Arabidopsis thaliana: one gene and its partners. The protein of the gene in region 1 interacts with the protein of each later gene in a pairwise test. Each region holds a gene or a part of one and is shown in the gene's direction. Other genes may lie near its edges.

The links.
Region 2: the proteins of CYC3B (region 1) and DPB interact in a two-hybrid assay, tested with the Arabidopsis thaliana proteins (one large-scale study listed by BioGRID).
Region 3: the proteins of CYC3B (region 1) and CDKB2;2 interact in a two-hybrid assay, tested with the Arabidopsis thaliana proteins (one large-scale study listed by BioGRID).

Annotation. Positions count from the first base shown.
Region 1 is NC_003076.8:3,600,977-3,607,068, reverse strand, and holds CYC3B (mitotic-like cyclin 3B from Arabidopsi), read left to right. Parts: upstream 1-1,718; 5' UTR 1,719-1,904; intron 1,905-2,565; 5' UTR 2,566-2,602; coding exon 2,603-2,758; intron 2,759-2,841; coding exon 2,842-2,928; intron 2,929-3,041; coding exon 3,042-3,228; intron 3,229-3,454; coding exon 3,455-3,576; intron 3,577-3,698; coding exon 3,699-3,791; intron 3,792-3,958; coding exon 3,959-4,092; intron 4,093-4,260; coding exon 4,261-4,336; intron 4,337-4,425; coding exon 4,426-4,502; intron 4,503-4,598; coding exon 4,599-4,632; intron 4,633-4,725; coding exon 4,726-4,875; coding exon of another isoform or gene 4,876-4,964; coding exon 4,965-5,099; intron 5,100-5,198; coding exon 5,199-5,258; 3' UTR 5,259-5,556; downstream 5,557-6,092. Other genes in the region: AT5G11310 (Pentatricopeptide repeat (PPR) superfamily protein), read right to left, coding at 21-579.
Region 2 is NC_003076.8:840,806-845,954, forward strand, and holds DPB (Transcription factor DP), read left to right. Parts: upstream 1-1,682; 5' UTR 1,683-1,910; intron 1,911-2,004; 5' UTR 2,005-2,036; coding exon 2,037-2,287; intron 2,288-2,662; coding exon 2,663-2,742; intron 2,743-2,880; coding exon 2,881-2,924; intron 2,925-3,145; coding exon 3,146-3,208; intron 3,209-3,301; coding exon 3,302-3,448; intron 3,449-3,530; coding exon 3,531-3,599; intron 3,600-3,698; coding exon 3,699-3,797; intron 3,798-3,897; coding exon 3,898-3,968; intron 3,969-4,061; coding exon 4,062-4,395; 3' UTR 4,396-4,649; downstream 4,650-5,149. Other genes in the region: AT5G03406 (Class II aaRS and biotin synthetases superfamily protein), read left to right, coding at 17-146, 266-358, 541-639; AT5G03420 (5'-AMP-activated protein kinase-like protein), read left to right, coding at 4,836-4,996, 5,119-5,149. UniProt on the Arabidopsis thaliana protein: Involved in the regulation of the G1/S transition. Increases the DNA binding activity of E2F proteins after heterodimerization.
Region 3 is NC_003070.9:7,291,889-7,296,620, reverse strand, and holds CDKB2;2 (cyclin-dependent kinase B2;2), read left to right. Parts: upstream 1-1,874; 5' UTR 1,875-1,956; coding exon 1,957-2,189; intron 2,190-2,570; coding exon 2,571-2,712; intron 2,713-2,800; coding exon 2,801-2,862; intron 2,863-2,954; coding exon 2,955-3,066; intron 3,067-3,198; coding exon 3,199-3,292; intron 3,293-3,379; coding exon 3,380-3,449; intron 3,450-3,540; coding exon 3,541-3,679; intron 3,680-3,773; coding exon 3,774-3,869; 3' UTR 3,870-4,113; downstream 4,114-4,732. Other genes in the region: AT1G20940 (F-box family protein), read left to right, coding at 103-1,347; AT1G20925 (Auxin efflux carrier family protein), read right to left, coding at 4,114-4,238, 4,322-4,507, 4,596-4,648, 4,728-4,732.

The DNA of each region.
Region 1 (6,092 bases):
GCTACAAGAAATCTGCATACCAGCACGAGCATACCGTCTGATCAAAACGATGAACGTATCTGCAGAAACCAAATTCGATCCTTCATCGCTTCTCACTCGATCAAAAACCAACGACCAAGCAATTTCAAATTCACGAGCTTTACATAGAGAATTGACAACAGAATCGAAAAGTGAAGGAGAAAGTGTAAACCCAGGTTTCATCTCCGCCCATTTGAACACTGAGTGAAGCAACATCGGCGATGAACTTAACCGATCGAACAACGCGTGAACCAACTCAACACTCGGTTCGATTCCGGTTTCATCTAAAGCTGACTCGAGACTCGAACCGGGAACAACATCAGTGTTCTCGAGAAGATTCGATATAGTAGAGAGATCGGTTTTCGAGACGGTGTTTTGTTGCGGTGGAGTACATGTAGAATCGGGTACGGCGGGTGATTGTATCCGTTGGATGAGAGGCTCGACGGGAATGAGCGGGGATGAACGGCGAGATGATGATAACAATCTATGAAGAAAGAAGTTGCGGTGAGGATTAGGGTTTAAGAGGAGGTTGCGGCGGAAGGCGGTGAACAGAGAGTTCATTTTCTGCCGCCGTTTATTAGAATTAAGTGTCCGCCGAGAAAATTAGGACACTCCGATTACGCGCCATTTGGGCTTTTGTTTGTTAACTGAAAATATCGATCAACATGGCCCATTATTTTAAAATGAAGTTACATATAGAATATTTGATATATATCCTCATACAACTTAGAAATTGTCTTTCTAGTCCTTCTCCACACGTATTTAATTTGTTTTTTATAAAGATGTATATACAATTTATCATTTATTTTTTTGGATAATTTACAATTTATTATTTTGCAAGTAAGAATCCGTGTATGCGTGTGATTCGTATATGTCCAAATACATATAATTAATGTTGTTAAATTGGTAGAAACGCCTTTTTGACTAATGTTTGAATTTCTATATGTGAATAAATATCTTTCGAAATAATTGTGAGAATGCAAGGCAATGGATGTGGTTATTTTCTCCCTCCATTTCCTTTTCAAATTTATTTTATCCCTTTAAAGAAATAAACATATAAATATTATTGACCAAATATATTAAATTGATTTTAAGGTAAAATAGTTGGAAAATATGTGTATAATTAGAAAAATGTCAAAAATTTATAATTGATCTGAACTCGAGCACTTGTTGATGTGTATTTGGATCGTATTTTCCAGATACATGAATTTTAAATTAACATCTTTTAATTTGATTAAGTAAATCAACGATTAAAAACGTGAATGATGGTAGATACATTGCGGTGATAATATCGTACAGAATCGTTTAATGTAAATATAATGTCTATTAATGTATTTTCGTTTCCAAATTAGAAATTACTGTAATTTACGTAAGGTAAATATATTTTTTGTTTTCAAAATAATAGTCATTACCATTTTATGTTTGTCGGAAATTTCTCGACCAATAATTTGTCTATCTATCGAAGTAGTGTAGTTCTTAAAAAACAAACAAATTACCATAACATATAAACTTTTTTTTGTTAATTGACAGCTCCAACATATGTGTAGTAATAAAAGACAGTTGCACTATTCCTTGTATAGTAACTTGGACCAAATTATAGAAATCATTCTTACAATTTTTTACCAAAGAAATTGAAGATTTTTCCAAAAAAAGCAAAGAAAGATTTTTTAAATTCCGATTTTTTTTTTTTGTTATATCCAAAAAAATCCGAATTTCAAACAGTACCTTTTTCAGTCAGTCGCTTCCCCCGCTCCTCTCCGCTCTCTCCCCCACCTACACATATTTCAACACTCTCTCTCTCTCTGGAGCGTTCTCTTCTCTCCTTGAGCTTCTCTTACCGCCATTAGAGCTCCTTCACAAACTCATAAACCTATTTGTTGAGCCAGGTATCATCATCACCTCTCGTCTGCTCACAATTTCCTGTTTGATTACCGATTCTCTGAATCGTAGCTTGTTGCTCTGCGTTTTGATCGATCGGAGCTAATAGTAGTTTGGATTTTAGTCTAATCGATCTCTCTAGCGAATGTTTTTTGGTCTTCGATTGAGATGATCGATTCCTCTTTGTTGTTTCCGCTTGTATTTGGTTTCTGCGTATTTGTTCTTCAAGCATGGCTAATCACTGGGAAATTGAAATTGTTGAGATCGTTCTTATCTGTTTGACTGGATTTTATGAAACGTGTGTGTACTCTATGGCTCATTGTTTGTTTAAGTAATCGGTCTTTTAAAGGATTTTTGCTATGAAGAACAATGCTTAATTCGATTTGGAAATGACTAGCTTGAAAATTGGATCTATCGATGCAGATTAATGTGAAGGAAACATAGAAACTAGTTGTGATAAGCTGGGTTGCTTGTTTAAGCTGACATTTACTCAATAGTTAGAATCGTGTGGAATTGAGATCTGTGGCTAAATTTGAGTATGAAGAAATCGTTTTAATTGCCACTATATGCTTGTTTCTTCCTGAAATTTATGCTGCATTTGAACATTGCTTGATCTTTTTGATGGAGGCAAGGATAGACATTTGATTATGAACTGTTGTTGTTCTGCAGGCTTGGCTTAACCACTGGCCTTTTTCCAGACTAAATTATGTATTGCTCTTCTTCGATGCATCCAAATGCAAACAAAGAAAATATCTCTACTTCAGATGTACAGGAGAGTTTTGTACGAATAACGAGATCACGAGCTAAAAAAGCCATGGGAAGAGGAGTATCAATACCTCCAACAAAACCTTCTTTTAAACAGGTACTGAAACATGTTCTTATAGAAAGTCATGAATTTCAAGAGCTGATGCTAAACTCTCTAATTTCCTGCCTCTGGTTTATCAGCAAAAGAGACGTGCAGTACTTAAGGATGTGAGTAATACCTCTGCAGATATTATTTATTCAGAACTTCGAAAGGGAGGCAACATCAAGGTAAAGATTTCAGATGATACGCTTTCATTGTCTTGGTTGGTTTATATCTTATGTTGGTAATATAGCCTTCAAACTTTCCCTTTGGGCTTATTACTGTTGACATCACGTTGCAGGCAAACAGAAAATGTCTAAAAGAGCCTAAAAAAGCAGCAAAGGAAGGTGCTAACAGTGCCATGGATATTCTGGTAGATATGCATACAGAAAAATCAAAATTAGCAGAAGATTTGTCCAAGATCAGGATGGCTGAAGCCCAAGATGTCTCTCTTTCAAACTTTAAAGATGAAGAAATTACTGAGCAACGTAAGAACTACAGTGTTCGTGAAAATAATGATAGTTACCACCTTCTCCTCATTTCCGAGGTCATGTTGATCACTCGCTAACTTTAAATCAAGCATTGGACTCCAGAATGCTGAAATTAGTTATTCCCATTAAATTTGTGTTGTCAAGGGTTGAAACAAGTGAACTCTATACCAACATGAATTTCTCAAACTTACTTAAGGTATGTATCTTATACTGGATTGTGCAGAAGAAGATGGATCAGGTGTCATGGAGTTACTTCAAGTTGTAGATATTGATTCCAACGTCGAAGATCCACAGTGTTGCAGCTTGTATGCTGCTGATATATATGACAACATACATGTTGCAGAGGTATTGAATTACATGATCCAAATATTTGCTTTACATCTTTCCACTGTTAACTTCTTGTAACTAATCTCAATATAACTACTTATATGAAGACTGTTGGAGTTATAACCTCTCTTTTCTTGCAGCTTCAACAACGACCCTTGGCTAATTATATGGAGCTTGTGCAGCGAGATATCGACCCAGACATGAGAAAGATTCTGATTGACTGGCTTGTAGAAGTTAGTTACCTTCAAACTTAGCTCATATATATAAATAACGGCATCATCTTATTATGTTTCTTATTGAATAGGACACTAAACCTTACTATACATAGCTTTCTTACAAAAATTAGAGCAAAAACTGAGAGTACTTTTGAGTAAAATAGTGAAGTGCGTGGTATTTTCAGGTTTCTGACGACTACAAGCTGGTTCCAGATACGCTTTACCTTACAGTGAATCTTATCGACCGGTTTCTGTCCAACAGTTACATTGAAAGGCAAAGACTCCAGCTCCTTGGTGTCTCTTGCATGCTTATAGCTTCGTAAGTCCCTACTTTGTTGTTTGTGTGTGTTTGTCAATTTCAGGTTATAGCAATGAGAACAGCATTTCCATCACTGGGAGAGCGCGAACCTATATATATATGTATACTTGCTAAGTAGAGAAACAAGTAAGGCTTATCTTCCTTATACATTTTTGTTGAACCTTGTAGAAAATATGAAGAGCTTTCCGCACCAGGGGTGGAGGAGTTTTGCTTCATTACGGCCAACACATACACAAGACCAGAAGTAATTAACATTCAAATCACACATCTCTCGGTATCTTTAATGTGTACAGATTCTTGATGAAAATATATAAACTGGAATCTTTGTTTCAGGTGCTGAGCATGGAGATTCAAATTCTAAATTTTGTGCACTTTAGATTATCGGTTCCTACCACCAAAACATTTCTGAGGTAAATACTAAAGGGCAGAACTATGAATCATCATATCTTTCCAACTTTGTTTAAAAATAGTACCACTGAGTTTTCATCTTACCAATGTTTTTTCAGGCGGTTCATTAAAGCAGCTCAAGCTTCGTACAAGGTATGAAACCATGATCCATTTATCATCAACCCTCACTTCTACAGAAACTTGGAATCTGAATGTAGTGCGTTGTTTCTTATAATTATTTTGCAGGTGCCTTTCATTGAACTGGAGTATTTAGCAAACTATCTCGCCGAATTGACACTGGTGGAATATAGTTTCCTAAGGTTCCTGCCATCACTAATTGCTGCTTCAGCTGTTTTCCTAGCCCGATGGACACTCGACCAAACTGACCATCCTTGGGTCAGCTCATGTTTCTTGAATCTTGAAAAAGGTTGTTTTTGTGTTTGCCTCTTTTTTGTGCTGATAAAAAGAATGATGTTTGGTTATAGAACCCTACTCTGCAACACTACACCAGATATGAGGTAGCTGAGCTGAAGAACACAGTTCTCGCCATGGAGGACTTGCAGCTCAACACCAGTGGCTGTACTCTCGCTGCCACCCGTGAGAAATACAACCAACCAAAGGTACATTTCTCTACAAAACACCGTTAAATCAAACTACTGATTGTTGAAGAAAAGTGAATGAATGATTGAACTGGTTTTAATTCTGTATGACTTTGATAGTTTAAGAGCGTGGCAAAGCTGACATCTCCCAAACGAGTCACATCACTATTCTCAAGATGACACCAAGCAACATCGAAAACAGAGCCCAAGTCAGGTGATCAAAATACCTATTTTCAGACATTGGATGTTATGTCGTCTCTTTGCCAGTTTTGTCTGTCTGTAATTCTGTAGCTATTGTGTGGCGCCTTAATTGTAGGCCATTACTTGTCACACCACTTAGCTTTAAATAAATGTTATGGAATTTTTCTAATCGCATTGCTACAACTATTTACTATCCTGCGGGATTTTGTACCTAGGAGCACTTGGAAAACGAATACAAAAGTGTTAATTAATATAAATTTCACTGTTCATGGCTGGATTGTTATGTTGTTTGTTCTGATTTCGCAATGCTATATTCATATGGAAACATTTCCATCTACAATTAACGTCTCCCGTGTAACATTTGGTATCCCCTTTTTACTGATTCCTCCATGCTTGATTTTATTCGTCAAATTAGTCTTCAGGTATACTTCAATGTATGTATTTCCATGGCTTGAAGTTCTTCAATCTTCCACAAATTCAATCAAATCCTAAAATTCGAAGATACGCCAACACTTTTCCTCCTTAAAAACTCTCAACTATACCCACTTCAGTTCCTTAAGTTGAGTTATCACAGCTACAGTTCCTTATATAGTCCTCCACTAAACAAACAAGAAATCCCTAAGTCTGTAGCTCGACTTAAAACCGCTTCAGATACTTTTCTCAAAGTCGACTTACCTATAATTTTCTGTATGGCAATAGCCTCTACCGCCGTGATTGCGCACGAGATTCATTTACAAAGATCAGGACGCCTAAACCGGTAACTTCTCACTATAAAATGGTAAAAACAGTGTTATTGTTTACATGATCACTTAT
Region 2 (5,149 bases), 2.8 Mb from region 1:
ATTCTTTTTGGTCCAGAAAATCTGTTTCCCTTCCATTGAAGTGGTTTGCTGTTGGGCAGTGTTGGAGATATGAGAGAATGACACGAGGAAGGCGACGTGAGCATTACCAGTGGAATATGGATATTATTGGTGTGCCTGAAGTTACAGTATGTATCTCTCATACCTTTAATCACTTTAGGCCTTCTAGTTTTTTGTTATATGAACCTGATCTGTGTTTAAAGTCTCTATAAGCCGGCTAATTTGGTTCACAAACCTTTTCTTTTAGGCTGAAGCAGAACTAATTTCATCTATAATGACATTCTTCAAGCGAATTGGAATCACTGCATCAGATGTGGGTTTTAAGGTTTCAAGCCGCAAGGTATTTTTGCTTACGTTCTCTTTTGATGTGATATGATCATTTTGTTTCTTGGTTTACACTCTAGATACAGAACCAAGTAACTCACTTGCAATGCTAAACATGAGTTGAGATTATTTTGCACGATCTGCAGCATCTGAATATCCACTGTAGCTAACATCTCCCATAACTTCTTCCTTGTACAGGTTTTACAAGAATTTTTAAAAAAGTATGGTGTACCCGAAGACCTGTTTGGAAGAGTTTGCTTCATTATAGACAAGGTTAGCAATCTAAACATCAATTAACAGCTGCTTTGTTGCCAGAATTGGGACAAGAAGTAGAGAACATCGTGTGTGCTTTGGACAAAGATCTCCAAGGAGCTGCAACCACCATTGCAACCGCTCTTAAAGACAAAGGGCAAACCGTTGATTTAGTATTGGAGAGTAAACCGCTGAAATGGGTGTTCAAGAGAGCGGCTCGGGTAAACGCAAGAAGGCCGGTTCTGGTTGGGAAGTTGGTTCGGTCAGTGTCAAGGTTTTGTCTTCAGGTGAGCAATTTCAAGTCAAACTTGATGACTTGGAGTAGTAGTATCTAAGGCTTGAACAAATTGTTCAATTGTCCTTTTTTTCAAAAGCAATTGAGTTGAGATTGGATTTTTATTTTGTCCTCAAAGGTTTCATTAAGAATTTTATTGATGGATCTTCAATACTCGTTTATTCGTCTAATAGTGATTTACAAAATATACTTTTTGACTTCGAATCAGCCACATGTGGCATGTGATTTTTATTTCAAACCGAGAAATGCTAAAAAGAAAAGAAAATGTGCCTTTCGTGAACCTTAAGCTACATTATCACATAATCTTCGGAACTAGAAAAACTCTTTTGCTCCAGTTTTAGTAATGAAAGAGGATGAACATGATATGTTTATATTTCCTAAAAGCTCAAATCTTATCAACACTAGAATGAGTAAATTTCATATAATGAAAATTCATATCGAATGTGATTGACTAGTGGTATCAACCACACATGTTTTTAACTTTTTGACTTGATCATCCATCTACATTATGATGTATCAATGTATGTTTTTTATATTTGTTTTCATGCTTATTAAAGCCATATAAACATATTTTGGTAGATAATTCCAGTATTTAGCCAACAAAAGAAGAAGACGAAGATAATTTTAGTGTTTAGCCAAAATAAAAATAAAAAGATAATTCCAGTATTATATTCTGATTAACAAAAGACCTAAATTTCACTAAAGAGAATTAATCTTTTGGTAAAATAAAAAAAAAGTAAAGAAAATTATCTTCTTTAACTTTTTGTTTTTTTTTCACCTATGAGTCAGTTTGGTCCCTCTCTCTCTCTCTCATTGTGGACATCTTTTCACCATCGCACAAATAACAAGCCTCCCAACCCCGATCGACTTATCCTCCTCCTTCTCCGGCGAAATCCATTAACTCTCCGCCGCGAAAACCACCTTTCCAGAGTAGTATCACACTAAGAATTCTAATGTTGATCCGCCATTATTGAAGCTTCTAATTCTCGTTAATAACCAAAAACCCAAGTCGATTTTCAAGGTCAGTACTCAAAATCTGGGTTTTCGTCAAAATCAGAAACTTTCCTTGACAAATTTTAACAAATCTCTTTCTCGTTTTCTATTGAATTCTCCAGTAGCGCGGTAGTTAGTTTTAGGTGGAAGAAGAATGACAACTACTGGGTCTAATTCTAATCACAACCACCATGAAAGCAATAATAACAACAATAACCCTAGTACTAGGTCTTGGGGCACGGCGGTTTCAGGTCAATCTGTGTCTACTAGCGGCAGTATGGGCTCTCCGTCGAGCCGGAGTGAGCAAACCATCACCGTTGTTACATCTACTAGCGACACTACTTTTCAACGCCTGAATAATTTGGACATTCAAGGTGATGATGCTGGTTCTCAAGGAGCTTCTGGGTATGTAAACCACCTCAATTCTGTGATTTTTATATTAAAAGGCTTTGATGTGTTTATTGTGATGTTTGGTTTAGCGATTTTTAGGGTTTTCATTCTATTGCAATGGCTGCTTTTATGAGCTTAATGAATATATGAAACTGAACCAGTAGATGTAAGTATGATGTGTGGATCATACTTTTACAAGCTTGAATTTGGCTCTCCTGATATGTATTAGTCTAAAATCTACTAATAATCTGCATATTTGAATACTCATCTTTCCTATCCTTATTGGGACAAAAGATACTGTTTAGGCCATTGTCTTTGTGCGTTAATTTTTGTGTGGAAGTTGTTACATGTGTTCTGTGTAGTTTAGTTGATCATATAATCTATTTACAGTGTTAAGAAGAAGAAGAGGGGACAGCGTGCGGCTGGTCCAGATAAGACTGGAAGAGGACTACGTCAATTTAGTATGAAAGGTCTTATCTCTTTCTCTGCCCCTATTATGCTTTCATCTAAATGCCTTTCAAGTTTCTAGCTATGAATTGTGTGGATAATGCCTCTTAAGATTGGTTATACATTTAACTGATATTATGTTCGTCTGGCCTTCCTTTCAGTTTGTGAAAAGGTGGAAAGCAAAGGAAGGACAACTTACAATGAGGTACGGTAGTTTCCTTTTTAAACAAAAAGCTTCACAGTATTTATGCTTTGCAAGATCCATTCACTTCTGTTTATGTTATATGATGATACTGATTTATTGTGCTTACCAGTGTGATTAAACACTTGTCAAGATCACATATGGGAATATCAATTTGTCTCATGATTAGTACTGCAAACGTGTAGCTCTGTAATACGGTATCTAACAGGTGATAGTACTTTCAGGTTGCAGACGAGCTTGTTGCTGAATTTGCACTTCCAAATAACGATGGAACATCCCCTGATCAGGTATGCGTTTCTTCGATAGTTTCTACCCTGGAACGTGTGCAATACTCGTTGTGAACTCTGATGAAATTATATCATGTGAAAACGTTTTACCAGCAACAGTATGATGAGAAAAACATAAGACGAAGAGTATATGATGCTTTAAACGTCCTCATGGCTATGGATATAATATCCAAGGATAAAAAAGAAATTCAATGGAGAGGTCTTCCTCGGACAAGCTTAAGCGACATTGAAGAATTAAAGGTTTCAACCACATATTCTATGTGCAGATGTTCCATAGCTTGTTTAGAGAATTTTCCTGAATTTGAATTATTTTGTTTTGCAGAACGAACGACTCTCACTTAGGAACAGAATTGAGAAGAAAACTGCATATTCCCAAGAACTGGAAGAACAAGTAATGAACATCATCGATACTCTCGGCTTATCTGCTTCCTGTTACTTTTATCATAGATTCTTACATGGTCCTTCTATCATCTCTGTGTATGTCTGAAAGTATGTAGGCCTTCAGAATCTGATACAGAGAAATGAGCACTTATATAGCTCAGGAAATGCTCCCAGTGGCGGTGTTGCTCTTCCTTTTATCCTTGTCCAGGTAAACTTCACCAACAGCTTCGTATGATCTTAGATTGATCCACAAGGAAACCTCAGAAAAATGAAAAAATCACCTGATTGTTGTTGTTTCTCTGCACCAGACTCGTCCTCACGCAACAGTAGAAGTGGAGATATCAGAAGATATGCAGCTCGTGCATTTTGATTTCAACAGGTAAAATCCAAACACCAGATTTGATCTCTTTTCAGCTAATATATCTATGGAACCGATTACTGACACTGTGACAACTGTTTTCACTATTTGCAGCACTCCATTTGAGCTCCACGACGACAATTTTGTCCTCAAGACTATGAAGTTTTGTGATCAACCGCCGCAACAACCAAACGGTCGGAACAACAGCCAGCTGGTTTGTCACAATTTCACGCCAGAAAACCCTAACAAAGGCCCCAGCACAGGTCCAACACCGCAGCTGGATATGTACGAGACTCATCTTCAATCGCAACAACATCAGCAGCATTCTCAGCTACAAATCATTCCTATGCCTGAGACTAACAACGTTACTTCCAGCGCTGATACTGCTCCAGTGAAATCCCCGTCTCTTCCAGGGATAATGAACTCCAGCATGAAGCCGGAGAATTGAAACACGTATGAAGGCCCCTTGTACAATTTCTGTAAAACTGTAAAGTAGCTCTTGAAAAACTTTACCTGGTTTTTTGACGAATAGTCTGTTTAGCGGTAAATGTACCGGTGGTTTATCGAATCTAGGATCCTTGTCGGGTTTAGCGATTTTAAGAATCTTTGCCATAGGAAAAAAAAAACACTTTGCTCTGTGGTGTAGAAATGAATTTTATTAACCATTTGGATTAGTCCATGTTCGGTTCTGTTATTCGGAAACCCGGTTATGGACTTCAATTTTGGAAATTACGAAACTGAACTAATCGATTTCCGGTTTTGTTGAACCGAAATCCGGTTAAAATATTACCATATCAATCATATCATTAGAAATGTAGTTCTGTTTCATGTAATTCGGTCTGAATGTTAATAAATGCTGGGAACATCGGAGCTTGAGAAAGTCCGGCCATGGCGACGATTTCTCAGATACCTTTCTCTATCTCCTTCCCTTGTTTCGAATTTCGGAAACCATCGTTCTACTATCATCAGCCTCAACTTTTTGTTTCGTACTTGAATTCCACGAAGAAGCATAGTTTTATCTGTTTCGCATGTTCCACCAAACAAACCAGGTTCGAAATTTCTCGTCGTTTTTTTTTTTGGTTTTTGCTTCGATCTGTGGAAAATTGGAGACAGCAGACGTACTTCAATTATTGTTTTGGTTAATTGGTCTGCTTGAATTGAATTTGAACAGAGTTCGTAAGAGAGTGAAGAGCAATGAGGAG
Region 3 (4,732 bases), on another chromosome or scaffold:
TATGTTGTCTATTATTATATATATATATATATATATATATATATATATATATATGTTGAAAATAACACAAAAATATTCACATACGCCAAGCAAAATAGAATCATGAATAATTTGCCAAGAAATTCTCAATTTGATTCATCTTCCATCATCAATGATTTACCTTTAGACCTTCTCGACGAGATTCTCTTCAGATTAGAACCCAAATCTATGGCTATGATGCGATGCACTAACAATTCTATCAAATCATATTTAAGTGATCCAAGATTTGGACCGGAATATCCTTCATGGGTCAGACCTAGTTTGTTTAACCTTGGTAGCTATGGCGCTACTTATGTATGTTGCCATCCTTTGGTCTCTTCATGCGATTATATGTCACCGGGAAATGGAGTAGAACTGTTTGATGGTAGTGCGGATTGTTACATTTTCGGCTCATGCTCTGGTCTTCTCCTATTGTACATTGGTTGTCTCTTTGTTGCAAATCCCTTAACAAAAAGGTTTCGAATCCTGGATCATTCTGGATCAAAGCTTATACCAATGATAGTTAATGGTGGACTTAAAGGTCTTAGCGGAATTAGTTATCCTGGAGGTAATGTTGCTTGTACGGAACGAGCGATGTGCGTTGGATTTGCGGTAAATCGAAATCTAACAACCAAGAGATTCAAGATCGTGGGCATACTCGAGATGGAAAACGTATACGGATTCGAGATCAACGAAGGAGACTCTTGGAGATTATCGGAAACGAGTATCACCACTAGCTCAAAAAGTGATCTCACTACGCGGATGAAACCTGTTTACTTGGACAACACTCTTCACTGGCTGAGAAACGATGGCAGCATCATGTCTTTTAATCCCGAGACAGAGCAAGCATGCTTGATTCCTTCCATATTTCATCGGGAACCGGATACGAAGCTACTTTTCGCGGAAAGCGTTAAGATCAATCGCCTGACCCTAATTTCGGGGACGATAGAAACAATCTCCGTTTACACACTTGTCGAGAATCACAAATGGACACTCACAAGGCGGATCAAGAACATATCTATCGAGGAAGAAACGCTTGTATATTGGAACATAGCTATGTACGATGGCAAGTGTCTTGTGGTGAGGGTGAAAAAGATGGGTTTAGAACCTTTGGCAAGTGTTCTTCATGTGTACGACATGGAAGCTAACAGTTGGGGAGTTTTGGTGTCAACCCTTGCTTGGCCCAATTGCGTCCGAGATTTCTATAAATTGACGCCCTCCTTGTTCTTTGTAGAGGAGGATGAGCAACAGAAGGTGCTTGTTGCTTCTAATGACCGACGCATCTCCTATATAAATTCGATTATGGGACTCATTGATACCACCAAGTAAACATTTAGGGCCTATAGATTATACAAAAAATGTCCTGATTTATAAGAATGTTTGTTTCCCATTTGCTTTTATCATTGCACTATTATGGTTTATGTATTTCAAATCTAAAAATTAGTTGTATATTACTATTTCTTTTGGGACAAAAAATCATTTAAGACAATGTTGTTTAAGAACTTGTTCTTCTCTGGCTTGTCAATTTTTCGTCCTGCCCAATAAAGGCCCATCTTGTGTGTTTTGTCGAATCTAACAACAAACTCACACCTTTTGACCAAAAAACAAACTCTCCCCTTTTTTTTTTCCTTTCGTGTAGCTAAACCGTCTCCGGATGTTGACAAACATTGGTTATTCACTTTTTCCACGTCACACTTAAAAACAGAACATAAAAAAAAAACTAATGACGACGCTCCAGTTTTGAATTTTGAAAAAAGAAAAAAAGAACCGTTGAAAAAACATGAGTGCTCAAAGAGGGAATATACCTTTTTAATAATCTCCTTCCTATTTAAACCAATTCTCGAATCTAATTACATTTCCTCTCTCTTTCCCCAAATTGAAAACAAAATCTGAGATTCGCGAAGGAAGAAGAAGAGTTGTCTTGAGAGATTGATAGAGATGGACAACAATGGAGTTAAACCCGCTGTTTCCGCCATGGAAGCCTTTGAAAAGCTTGAGAAAGTAGGTGAAGGGACTTATGGGAAAGTTTACAGAGCAAGAGAGAAAGCTACTGGGATGATCGTTGCTTTGAAGAAGACGCGTCTCCATGAGGATGAAGAAGGTGTTCCTCCCACTACTCTTCGCGAGATCTCTATCTTGCGTATGCTCGCTCGTGATCCTCACATCGTTAGGTTCGATTTCCTTTTACATTTCTGATTCGGTTCAGTCACTTTCTGAAATTCTCCGATTTACTGGTTTTGATTGTGGATTTAGGACTCAATTTCGATTTCTAGGGTTTAGTCCCGATTAATTGATGTCTCAATTGATTTGATGACTCTGATTCTTCCTGCAAATCGCGCTTAGTGTCGCTCTTAGGTGTTACTGGTAGATCTTAGTTTCAGTTTGCTATTTGTTGTGTGGTCCGATCGAGATAAAATGGGTTCCTTATCTTATCCGAATACTAGAAAATGTCAAAGTAGAAGCTCTGTGTTGTGATCTCAGTTTCAACTATTTTTGTGGTGATTGCATTTCTACTGAGAGATTATTGTTATGATGATTATCTTCTTCTACAGGTTGATGGATGTTAAGCAAGGAATAAACAAAGAAGGAAAAACTGTACTTTACCTTGTTTTCGAGTATGTTGATACTGATCTCAAGAAATTCATCAGAAGCTTTCGTCAAGCTGGACAGAACATTCCACAAAATACTGTCAAGGTTTGGATATTTGGAGATTTTGTTCTGCTTTTTTTCTCTCATCCGATAAGCCCCTTTAAGCTAAGAGAAACATGTTCTTGAATTGCAGTGCTTGATGTACCAGTTATGCAAAGGCATGGCTTTTTGCCATGGTCATGGAGTGTTGCACAGGTAAAAATCGTCTTTGTTTTGGAAGAACTATGACTTGAGATAACCCATTTTGACACAGATCTCTAATCCTACTTGTCTTGGTTTCATTACAGGGATCTTAAGCCTCACAATCTCTTGATGGACCGGAAGACAATGACGCTCAAAATAGCAGATCTTGGATTAGCCAGAGCCTTCACTCTCCCAATGAAAAAGTATACACATGAGGTATATAAGTCTACGTTGATGAAACATTAGTCCTGTTTCATTCTAGTTTTTTTTTTTTTTTTTAATTCTATCTTAGTTTATCTGGAGTTATAACTCAGGATGATTTTACCCCCATGATTTCATTTGCAACAGATTCTAACTCTATGGTATAGAGCTCCGGAAGTTCTTCTTGGAGCAACCCATTACTCTACTGGAGTGGATATGTGGTCTGTTGGCTGTATTTTTGGTACAAAATCTTCTCTTACAGTTTCACTGGTTTCAGTTCAATGTCACTAGCAAGAACTAACAGTTTTGTTTCCTTTTTGATGTGTAGCTGAACTAGTGACCAAGCAAGCAATCTTTGCGGGAGACTCTGAGCTCCAACAGCTCCTCCGTATATTCAGGTAAGTCTTTGTGTTCATCTTTACCTTTAAGACACAAACATGACATTCGCTAACTTGGTTGTTCTGTTTCTTTCTTTCCTGTCAAACTCAGGTTGTTGGGAACACCAAACGAAGAAGTTTGGCCTGGAGTAAGCAAACTCAAGGACTGGCATGAATACCCGCAATGGAAACCGTTGAGTCTCTCCACAGCTGTGCCAAACCTCGACGAGGCTGGACTTGATCTCTTATCTGTAAGTCTCTAGTGTCTAACACACCTCTCAGACCTTGCTTGATTAGTAGATAATCACTCTGCTGAGACTAATTTGTGTTTCTCTTTGTGCACAGAAAATGCTGGAGTACGAGCCAGCAAAACGAATCTCAGCAAAGAAAGCTATGGAGCATCCTTACTTCGATGATTTGCCTGACAAGTCCTCTCTCTGAGGCTCTCTTTATAAACTCTCAATAGGATATTTTGTTCTATCTCTGTCTTTGCTTGTCTCAAGCATTTATCTGCTATCTTAGGATGATTGAAGTTTCAATATTCCCTTTTGATTGGGTCTCTATTCCCAATTGTATAACCTTCCAACATTTTTATCAATGAAAGAATATATCAGTTTCTCTAATATTTCAAAGTAGCAAGATTTGCAACTGTTTCCCATTTGTGTAAGTGTGTGTGTGTGGATGTTCAGGCTACGAGCCACATGAAGAATGTTGGCCAGACAGTGAGAGAAACTGAAGCCAAGGCATAACTCCAGAATAGAATCACAGAGCATTCACTTTCTCCTGATCCGAATAGTTGAGTGATTGTACCTGCCAAAAGGTCAAGTGAGTTTATGAGAAAGACAGTGTGATGACATGTTTTGGTAGTATTTTTGTGAGTCTGAAGAACGAACCAAGATTCATCGCTGGGGGAACGACATACTGAAGCAGAAGAACAAACTGGTAAAGCGGTTCGGATGTAACCAAACCCAAGTAATGCGCTCCTCGTACTATGAAAACTCCTAATATTGGCAGCAACAAGTAACGCACAACCACCACACCCATTATGACTGACTTGTTTATTCCTGAACCTCTCAGACCTGTGATTATTATAAGAGAGAGAACAGAGATTTAAGGTTTTGTCTTAGGAAAAAAAGTTTCTGCAGCCATTTGTTATTGTTTATCTACCATTGAGAAGGTTTCCTCCAACAATCAGAGTCAGAACAGGAATCGCCCCGTCCCTTCAAGAAAATTAAGCTACTCAAGTAAGCATTGTTAATTATCACTGACAAGTGAGATTTTTAATATGTTGTAGAATACCCCAA